3 linked regions of the Drosophila melanogaster genome follow. The protein of the gene in region 3 interacts with the protein of the main gene of each other region in a pairwise test. Each region holds a gene or a part of one and is shown on either strand. Other genes may lie near its edges. The genes, in order: IM18, Nepl5 and EMC5.

What was found.
Region 1: the proteins of EMC5 (region 3) and IM18 interact in a two-hybrid assay, tested with the Drosophila melanogaster proteins (one large-scale study listed by BioGRID).
Region 2: the proteins of EMC5 (region 3) and Nepl5 interact in a two-hybrid assay, tested with the Drosophila melanogaster proteins (one large-scale study listed by BioGRID).

The regions. Positions count from the first base shown.
Region 1 is NT_033778.4:23,600,262-23,603,699, forward strand, and holds IM18 (immune induced molecule 18), read right to left. Parts: upstream 1,513-3,438; 5' UTR 1,472-1,512; coding exon of another isoform or gene 1,413-1,471; intron 1,360-1,412; coding exon of another isoform or gene 1,290-1,359; intron 1,222-1,289; coding exon of another isoform or gene 1,015-1,221; 5' UTR 909-1,014; coding exon 693-908; 3' UTR 653-692; downstream 1-652. Other genes in the region: CG42559 (uncharacterized protein), read right to left, coding at 53-119, 178-288, 344-426; CG10332 (uncharacterized protein), read right to left, coding at 1,015-1,221, 1,290-1,359, 1,413-1,471; CG43209 (uncharacterized protein), read right to left, coding at 1,748-1,939, 1,996-2,062, 2,113-2,174; Eglp1 (entomoglyceroporin 1), read left to right, coding at 2,456-2,583, 2,639-3,041, 3,106-3,291.
Region 2 is NT_033779.5:6,379,550-6,384,000, forward strand, and holds Nepl5 (Neprilysin-like 5), read left to right. Parts: upstream 1-1,716; 5' UTR 1,717-1,748; coding exon 1,749-3,803; 3' UTR 3,804-3,870; downstream 3,871-4,451. Other genes in the region: DIP-epsilon (Dpr-interacting protein epsilon), read right to left, coding at 1,099-1,241; Nepl6 (Neprilysin-like 6), read right to left, coding at 3,996-4,451.
Region 3 is NT_033779.5:18,986,060-18,988,986, reverse strand, and holds EMC5 (ER membrane protein complex subunit 5), read right to left. Parts: upstream 1,281-2,927; 5' UTR 1,199-1,280; coding exon 1,117-1,198; intron 1,052-1,116; coding exon 999-1,051; intron 931-998; coding exon 736-930; 3' UTR 694-735; downstream 1-693. Other genes in the region: CG15170 (uncharacterized protein), read left to right, coding at 1-693; Swip-1 (Swiprosin-1), read left to right, coding at 2,077-2,315.

The sequences.
Region 1 (3,438 bases), on a different chromosome or scaffold from region 3:
AATACCCAATTCTACAAGGTTATTCACAACATTAAATAGTTTCGATACATACAAGTTTGAGAACATAGTTAAGTTCCTCGCCTCTGCCCTTCTCGGAAAATTTGTCAGTGAATTGACGTCTATCATATGTAAAAAAAAAATTATTTTTACGGGTCATTTGAATAATAAAATACTTACTTAGCAGGAAATTCGTTTAAATTATTATTCGACCTTGGGTGGAAAATGTTTCTACCGTGGTAAAAGTTTCTATGCCTTGGTAAATTTCTGTGCAACTCATTGGAAGGCCAACTAATATTTAGAAGATTTACAAATAAAGTTTGGATAAATTTCCAGTACTACATACCAAACTCTTTCTTGACATAGCACCTGAGGTTGAAATAGCCTGTTGCACGATGCCGAGCCTAAGATTCGTGCAACAGGAAACATGGCTTCTTAAGTTTAGGATAGAACGAAATCAGTGTGGCAGAAATACATTTTACAAGTCTGAAAGTACAATGTGGATATTTGACGTACGGTCAAAAGCAACTACTTCGATATGAAATTTAGAATTTGCAATAAATTTAGAAATAATTATTACGCATTTTATAAATAGTAAGCAGATGTGTATCAAGGCCATTTCATAAGTAAGATAAGGAAACTGGGCGATTAATTTAGTTTAGGCGTTTCAAATCTTTATTGTTTCATTCTTTACGTCAGGCGTACATAGTCTTCGATGGTTTCCCAATCGGAGCGTCGTAGTACAGTGGTCGTTGCTGTGAGCTTGGAGACCTGAACGGATTTCCGGACCCAGCTCCAGATCCCGATCCGTTTCCTGGTCCAGTGTGGCGAGATGGCGAGGCGACGCCGGGAGCAGCTAGGAAGCCCAGGAGGCCCAAAAGGAGCAGGCAGCACAATGCGATCAGCTTCATGGTTGGCAATCTCAAGTGAATCTGAATGCCGACCTCCGGCAATAGCTTGTTTTTATACGCTGCACTCGTATGCCCTTGGGATTGGGAAGCACCCGGGGGGATTTTGCTATTCGCTGAAATCACCGACTTTGGGTGATTTCTTATCAGCTGGGGGGCGTCGATCAGATTTTCTCTCCTTCCTCTCGCGATTGGAATTCACCTTCACATCGAACTCCATGCCACGGATGCAGCGGGTCAGGTCGGTTAGATTGGCCTCGACGCGCTTTTGCTTGAGTGCCAGCTCATGGGATTGCAGATCCAAGATTCCGCGTTCCTGACGATGGGATTTGATTAGATGGCGCTCGATTTTTGTATCATCTATCTTGAAAGGTAACAACTTACTGTTTGCAGATCCTCCAGTTTTAGTTGATTTTCTATGCGACTCTGATCGGGCAGGACAACCAGATAACTTCTATATATCAAAATGTTATGATTGAATATGTATAATCACAGAATGCAACCTACCTGATGGTGCAGCCTCTGAAGCGGCTGAGAATAGATCTGATTATTGGGTTAATGTCCATGCTTACGAAAATGAAAACAGCTAATTTTGATTATCTCTAAAAGTTTGAAAGTAATTGCAAAGTGTTGAAGATACTTCAAACTGGCAAACTGCTGATATGGAGCTGAAATTCTGCATATAACCACATTTTATAGTTATCTCATTCTTCGCTATGCCAAAAACTATGCTACGCATTCTTGCTGTCCCATAGGTGGCGCGTTGGTTACGCATGTCAAATGTAAAATTACCATCGCCCTTGCCAGTACAAACAAGTTGTTGCAATCATTTAGTTTTATGTTTATTTATTCATTCTTATGTTTCGGAGGGCTTGTTTCAACTCTTTGAGCACTAATATAAGTTTACCCCTCGCAGTCTTCGCCTCGGACGACTTACTTTTCTCAAGGGCTTTGATTTGCATTTCAAGTGACTCGATTTGTGCGGTCAGTTCCATGATCCTTGCCTCTTTTCCCTTGTTCCCCTGCAAATGTTTCTTGGAGGTAAACGTTCTTTATGAGTCATTGAAATGTTTAGTTAGGAGATACTCACAACATGATACGTGTCGATACCGCCACTGCCTCCTTTGTCAAAAAGATCGCTAAACGGTCGTCTCTTGCTGCATGGAAATTGTGGATTTAAGGGAACTCACATTGCGGACGTACTTACCATAGAAACATGGTATCTCTTGTCTTTAAAAAAGTAAGAATCTTATAAGCCCCCCGAAACATACTTTAAGCTCTGCGTCAAATTTGTGTACTTATGCTTTTTTCGTTAATAAGTTTCTCCACGCCAACTAGGTGAGGCAAAAACACATTCAAAAATGGCTAACAAATGATCCAAGTAAACCTAACCCCTCTTGCTTTGCGAATATATTTGTTAAACATTTCCAATATACGAATTCGGTAGGAGAATCAATACTCAGACATACATAGTTAGTCAGTGATCATTTAGTTAGTTAGTTTTTTCCTTAAATTGTCTGTGATACATTACATATTACGGATAATTCACGATGATCTGGGACTTCTTTACCTTTATACGCGGAGCCACCGAGTTCAGTGCCACTGCGCTACTGATTTTGCTCGGTTGCATGGGAGACTCAACGAACCAAGGTGGTGAGAGCAAATTCTTGGTGGCCAGGTGATGCTTAGTGAGATTTCTATAATAGAATATTGTTAAATACTCTATCGTATAGCGTTCACTATGGCCTGACGGTGATGGTGGTGATGCACGTGTTTGGCTTCGTATCCGGAGCCCATTCGAATCCATGCATCTCGATCTCATGCTACTTGATGGGCTACATCGCCCTGGAAGTGATGATGATGTACGTGGTGTGTCAGATGGCCGGTGCTTTCCTTGGTTACTTCCTGCTAATGCAACTGCTGCCCAAGGAGCTGGTGGACAAAAGCAAGCCAGGCATTTGCCTGGTACAACCGATGGACACTCTGTCCACATACCAGGTCGTCATCATCGAGTGCCTGCTGACCGCGGTCCTCGTGCTCGGATGGTGCTCCTTGTGGGACGTGCGAAACGGAAGGTTCCTCGACTCGGTCGCCATTCGCATGGGTCTCCTCGTGATCGCTTGCAGTTTCGCAGGGGTGAGTTGAAAGGCTTTGGATTTTGTATCTATAGATACTATAGCTATATATGCATTTATTGCAGATTCAACTAACTGGAGCCAGTATGAACCCCGCCAAGACATTGGTGCCTGCCATATTCTACGGCAGTCCGAATTCGGTTCTAATGCAGCTGACTGGCCAGATCCTGGCCGCCATCATGGTGCCCTTCGTGTGGAATCATGCGTATACGCCACCTTATAAGCCCTTGGAAATTCCAGTGTGCAACTGAGCTGTGACAATAAACATAAGCTCGACGTTTTTGGCTACCGTGTGGCTTATTTGATCAAGTGTATGAGCAATTAAATATTAACGATAAGCAGTTCGCCGTGGCGTAAAAATAATCTGGCTTAGATAAGCATAGCATTTACATTAGATT
Region 2 (4,451 bases), about 13 Mb from region 3:
ACTGTGAGTTATAAGCCAGTCCTGCCCCAAAAATGTGCGCCCCATCAGTGCCGAAACTCCTTTGCTCGATTTCTAAACAGATATTTTCGGTTACCCAGCCGCATTGTCTTCACTTATCAGCCATCGTAAATTCAGTGCAATCCCTTTTGCCCGCCCTTCCCCCCCGATTCTTTTCAATTTCTTGGCCATCTCCCCGGGGAGGATTAACAACTCTCGGTTCCTTTTCTCGGCTGGCTGCCCTCCGTTGGCATTATTGAAGACAATTTGTAGAGGAAATTTATTGGGCTTGACACTTGGCCTTGCCTCGGCTGGGAATCACGAAACTATAGCCCACTCCAATGCCTGGTTGATGTCGCCTTTCTGCGACTGTATCGCCTCCTGACCACTCAATAAAATTGTCACAGGTTCATTGTTCTCATTGTCGGAGCTGCCCCTTCTATTATCGATGCGGCCATTGTTACCTTTAATTGGTAGAATGACGCCCACTTTTCGATGGGCTACACAGGCCATTGTTGTGGCAGCAGAATGAAAACCGTGTATATATAAATTAAGTTGTCTTTTCACATTCGCCATTCTTGGTGGCGTTGGGCTCTTGTCACCACCTCACAACCTCACCACCAACAAGCGGGCATTTTATTTTGTTTTATGAACTTTTGTAATCGGAATCGCTGCTGCCGAGCTGAGCTTTAATGGCCCAAACAGTGACTGGGGAGTAATTTAGCAAATTGACACAATATTGACACTTTATTGACACTACAGTGGCTCTAATTGCCGGTTGTGAGGATTGCGCATACGCCCCGTTGACGGCGGCAAGGATATGAAGAAAAACGTCGGTGAGACAAATTAAACGCGTCATTTCCTTATTAAATATCAAAATCTAATCTTGCTGTATATTAAAAAGTATTTGGGCACCAAAAATCCTGATAAAATGAACAGTACAATCTGCTTCCTTTGGAATCAAGGAACTGTCGGAGTTTCAAGTTTAAAGACCCCCCAAAATACTGGCGCCCATTTAAAAAGGGGTGTACATATACATTTGCCTATGACAGTGGCGCAATATCAAAGGGTATAAATAACACATATAGCCTAGTCACTTACTGTACAGCTTTATGTTGCCGTCCATGTCGCCCCGAGGATTTTTGGCGACGCACTTGTAGTTGCCATAATCGCTGCTCTGAACGTTGGTAATCGTGAGCCGCATGGTCGCCTTGTACGACGGATGGCCGGGAATGGTTTCGGTTCTGAAAGTGGAGAGACGGAGGCATCAGCGTGAGGCAAGTTCAATGACAGCCATTGTGCTCATTGTGGGTCAGTTCCACAACAGCCCACAATCGGGTATCAAGGCCAAGGTGAAACTGATAAGCGCGCACTTATGTCTAATCAAAATGCGACCTAGCCTACAAAGTACAGTGGCTCCAGGTACTGAAGATCCAATTTAAAGTCAAATATTATAATATCTTACGAGTGTTTAATGCTTTGAAGAATATGCCACCAAATGGGGTATAAAGTACGTTCTAGGATCATGTTCTTCGAACTTTGAACCTATTAAAGCATTTTTGTTAATTATCACCTTTGCCTGAAAATAGAAAGGTCAAGTGGTCAAGTACTGGGTGTGTATATATAGCTAGGATCCACTGCTCCTCCCACGATGATGACTGACAGGCGATGGGCCTGCTCTAGTCCGCAGTCTCCGCGATCCGGGCAAATCGTAGTCCGGCCAGTTGCAATTTGTCACAGTCGAAACCATCATGCTGAAGCTAAGCCTAGTGGCCTGGCTCATATTTTCGCTGGCTTGGCGCACCACGCCCACCGCCTGTCGCCAGACCAACGCACCCCAGAGCGTTCAGGAAATGCTGGCCGAGCAGCTGCAAAGCTACATGGATACGAAGGCGCGTCCCTGCGAGAACTTCTACCAGTACGCCTGCGGCAACTGGCAGATCCAGCAGCAGGAGCAGCACTCCCTGCGCGACAGAGATTGGACGAGGGATCGGCAGCGGTACCAGGGTCAGATGCTGCCCACCGACACCCTGGGACTGATAGACCACTCCGTGAATCGGAAGCTGGAGCTGCTGCTGCGGCGAAGGAATGAGAGCTCCTTCGAGTCGGACTCCTCGATTCTGGAGCAGATGCGACTCTACTACCGTTCGTGCAAACGCCTTAAGCCGTACAACCTCAAGAAGTACCTGCAGCTCCTGCCCCCCAGCAACTCCACGCAGTGGCCATCGGTGGGTCGGGGCTGGCGTCCGGAGCGGTTCGACTGGATAACGACCTTGGGGCGACTGCGTCTGCACGGACTGAACGGGGTGCTGCTGCGGGAGGAGGTACTGCCGCGATGGGATGACTCTCGCAACTACAGTATCTATGTGAACAAGCCGAGTCGCCAGGAGACGCAGCCCATGGGAGAAGGTGCCATGATCGAGCTGCTTCTGGACATTGGGCAGACAAAGCGAACGGCCAATGCCTTGGCTCGCCAGGTGGACGACTTCGAACGAAAATTGCACCGCCTGCAGGAGCTGGAGGACGACGAAGGACCACGAGAAATGCAGCTTGGTTACTTGGACTCGTACCTGCCACAGCTACGATGGTTATCCTTCATGCGCCAGGTACGCATTGACTCCGAGCTGGATCTGCGCTCCACATTAATCATCGAGAATATTCCGTACCTCAGGGCCCTGAGCGATCTGATGGAATCGGAGAGCCCGGACACCGTTTGCAGCTACATCATGCTCAAGTGGTTGGCCTTCCTCAAGCAACAGGGACCCGCGGACATCTCACGAGGTGAGTGCGTGGCCGCCCTCAGAAGAGCCATGCCTCTGGCCAGTAGCTGGCTGGTGGGTCAGCAGTTCTCCGATCCGGAATCCGAATCCTACGTAAGCTCACTGTTCCAGCGTTTGAAGGTGCGATTTGGCCAAATCTTGGCTGAGAACCGAATGAGACTATCGCCACCACTGGTGCACATCCTGCAGCAGAAACTGCGCGCAGTTCGACTGCAGATGGGCTTCTTTCAGACGGAGGAAATTGAGGATGTGGAGCAGTACCACGTCCGCATCGACCTGAGCGGCCACTCCTTCTATGGCAACCAGCTGGTCTTGCTGCGACAACGCGTTGAGGCGAACCACGATCTGCTTTACATAAATGTGACAAACTTCGCAAATTCCACGGGGAGCAACTTGAGTTACCTGTCGGAAAGCTGGGAGGCCAGCAACTCGTCGCCCCTGTATGTGAGACCACGCAATCTGGTCCTGGTGCCGCACGGTCTGCTCCAGCTGCCCATCTGGCATCGAAACATTAGCGCCCTGCAGCAGCACGCCGTGATGGGATTTGTCCTGGCCCACGAGCTGGCACACGGATTCGATATGTTGGGAATGGACTACGACGCCATGGGAAACATCATGGGGCCCGTGGAGGAGATCGGCGCTAGCCGTCAGTTCCGACAAGGACTCCAGTGTCTTCAGCAACAGATGGCCACCGGTTCCAAGTGGATCGACGAAAAGCTGGCCGACTTTGTGGCTCTGCGTCTAGCGTATGAGACCTTTTTCGGGGTGCGGGACAAGCGGGAGCCCAGGGATCCTCTGCTGCCGCAGTTCAGCCAGCGGCAGCTATTCTTCATCACCTTCGCCCAGTTCTTTTGCGGCCGGACGCCCGTGCTCAGTCCGCGATCTCAGTCGGAGGCTCATTTGAAGCACGCCGCGGATGAGTTGCGTGTGATGCAGACGCTGGCCAATTTTGAAGAGTTCTCTAGGGAGTTCGGGTGCGATAAGAAGGCCAAGATGCAGGCCAGCCAGCGGTGCCGCATCTGGTAATAGTTCTCTTTCCATCTCTCCCACAGGACATGGCAGGATCCAGTGATGAATAAATAAAATCTCACCTAACGAAGAGTTTTTTAAATGTGAGTGAGTAACTCGATGGGGTAGTGAACTCTTTTCAGATCCATCTAGTTTATTGTTTAATATAGTTTTATACACTAGTAGATTTCAAGCACTACTTGAATCCAGTTACCACAGTTGGCACTTTTCAGGCTGATTGCTCTTTGCTGGACAACCAAAAGCTTCGTGAAACGGCGCGAACCCATTGAGCATTTGCTGCAGACGCGTCTCGTCGTTGTCGTGACCAACGAAGTTTATTGGATCACCATCGCCGCAGAAGAACTGTGCCAGATTGAGGAAGAAGATTTGTTGCGGCGGAATGGTCGTAAAATCGGTTAGACTCATTTGCGAGCTGTTCTGGAAGTAGGTGGAATAGGCCAGATCCAGTCCAGCAATGTCTGCAATACGCTCGTCCAGATACTGTGTACTGTTCCGGTTCAGGCACTGTAAACCCGCCACAAAGCGTGGCGAACTGGATATCTGCGGTCCGATTTCGTGTATGTTCCCATATCTGTCATAATAAAGACCCACGGTGTCGACTGAGTGCATCAACTCATGGGCAAGTACGAATCCCAACAGGCTGTA
Region 3 (2,927 bases):
TGCTATGAATGCGATGAAGGCGCTGGGTGTAATAGTAAGGATTTCACCCGGTGCTACCAATGCAGCACGGATCAAGCGGGAGCAGGCTGTGCAAATTGGGAAAGTCCTGGCGAAATCTACATTGAAGAATGCGATGAACCGGCTGCACCATGTGTGGTTGTTTCCTTTAACAACGCCACCACTGCGAGAGGTTGCCAAAAATCGGACTTCAGCTGTGCTTCCGCAAATGTGGCCAGTTGTCGACTATGCGAAGGAAGTTTCTGCAACAAAGGATCATTTCCGGAGGAGCGCCTCTGGTGTCATCAGTGTAGGGGAGTGCAGGACTGCGAGGAGATCTCCAGGGGACAAACGGCTATGCCTTGTCCGGCTCGAGCAAATGAGCCGGAGGATCAAGAATTGGCCTGCTTGGAGTACTTTGACATCAACAGTAAAGAAATTGTAAGAGGATGTCGTTCCAATCCCGAGCTATACTACGAATGTCTCTTAAGGAGTAACCACTTCGACAGTTGTCGCACTTGTCACAGTCAGGCATGCAATAATAGTCCTGGCCGGGAATTAAGAGCCAGCTATGAGCTGGAGGCCAAGGCATTGTCCTTGTTGCAAGGCAAGAGTTCCGCAATATCCATCAAATTTTCGAATGCAGGTTACGGAGTTTGGTTGATCTTTAGCGTTATCTATATTGTAACTTGCTGAGACTATAAATAAAAGGATAGCAGAACTTAAAAGAAAGGTCTCTTATTCCGGGGGCGTATATCCAGGATTTAAGGCACGACCACGGTGATTGAAGGAATAGAACGAGGGGAAGTTGCCCAAGGTGTCCCAAGTTTTCTGTTGCATGTCCACGGTGGCGCGAATTTCCTTGAAGTTGCCAACGATCTCGATGATGTTGTAAATCACAATCACCAAACTGATGACGGTCTGCAGGATAATCTAAGGATTGATAAAGGAAAACTTTTCGTGAGTAACCATGCAAGCACCCTAAATGCACCGAAACCTACGTCCAATGGAAGGCTATTCCATTCCTGCTCCGTCAGCCTCAAATAGGTGCGATCTGTGGAGTAAATGCGGCACTTAGTGGTCCAAAGTTTATTTACCACAACAGTGACGAAAACTTACGATGGGCAGCAGAAAAAGCAGCATGTGCCAGGCTGGCAAATCCGGCAATTAGCAAGAGTTTGTTAAACAGTTTACTGCCCATTTTTATTGAACAATTACGAATTACAATCACAGTCGGTACAATTTTCTACAAAATTTTGCTAAATTGCTATCAAAATGCGGGCACACCTAGGGCTGGGAGCTTTGGACGATAGTTTAGGGTTGTCTGTATACCTCATATGCCGTAATATATTTAAGAATCTTAAATTTAAATATTTTATTGGGAACAACATTAAAATTATACAAAGATTGATTTTGTGATCAAACTAATTATATAATTATATTATAACTATATAAACATACAATAAATATTCGGTTACATATTTTGCTTAAGAAAGTTAAAAACTTTCGTAAAATTTGAAACCGTCTGTTCATCAGCTAGCTTTAAATAATGATTATATACATTATTAGTAACAGAATGAATTAAAAAAATTGTAAGGTATATATATTGCCTCGAAATTCAGCTGACTTTGGTATTTGTCAGCACACGGTCACTCGAAAAATGCCGCCGCGCCCGCTGGTATATTTGAACGCTCGTGTCACGGTCGCACTTTCATTCGTCTCTCAGCGTTCAGAAGATTCGGTAGTCGCGGCGGTCGAAGCGGAACACCAGTTGTCCAATAAGAAAGCCAATTTGCAGCAAAAAAAAAAAAAAAGACCGGCAATTCAAACGCACCTTGCAACTGTTTTTTCAAAGCCAAAAAAGGACTCAGGGCCACTCCCCACGACAAAAGCTTACGTGCAACGAGTCCGTGTGTGTTTTCCTGGCGCATCGCCGCATTTGTGTGTGTATCCGGACATCTCTTTTACGGTCCTTTTTGCGTGGGTGTGCCAAAAGGAAGAGAGAGTGAGAAGGCAGCAGAAAAGGGCAGAAAGGGAAATTCCAGCACACTAAAAAGCGAGTCAACAAGGAGCGACACAATGTCCGTTTCCTCGAACGCCTCATCCGCCTCCAACAAGGACAGCGTGGACAGCCCCAGCAGCACCACCAACACGGACAGCTCCGAGCTGACGCACATCCTCAATCGGCGCCAGGAGATCATGGAGTCCCAGGAGGCGGGCATCGAGGTGCGTCGCACCTACAAAGTGGTCAACGTCTACACCGACTTCCCCGAGTTCTCCCGTAACCAGATCAAGGACTACCAGAAGACCTTCAATACGTAAGTGAAGGCCGCCGAGCAATATTTACTTTTGTCCAGAGCCACTTTAAGGCGCAATATAAATTATATTAATATGGCGAAAAGGAAGCCAACATTTTGTTTATTGTTTTTGAAAACACCTGAGCAAAATCCGTTGCAATAATAATAGTTTATGATAAGTAACGATCATCTCTAGATTATTAAATAAATACAGTGTACTAGACACACTTGTATACATTACAAACGTTTGTAAATGTATATCTATTACACAAGATAATTCAAAAACAGAAATCAGTTTGCAAAACTATTTTAGGGCTTTCAATTTGCGCCAACCTTTACACTCCTTTCACCTGCAACGGCCACTTTCCCAGGCATCTCACCGCATTTGCGTCTCATTAAATGGCAACATAAAACTCATGCGCCTAATGATCATTTAAATTGCATTTACTGCAGCCCCTCCTGCAGCCAACCCACCCCTCCCCTGCCCCCCTGGGCAATGGGGCATGACTCACAAGTACTTGCGGAGAAGTTTTGTCACAGTCACTGGCTTATTCCCAAGTCGTGCTCCCGTCGCGCGGATCATGAGTCAAAAGTGGTTTTCTGCCCCAACACTTTCAGGCGGATTCAATTATC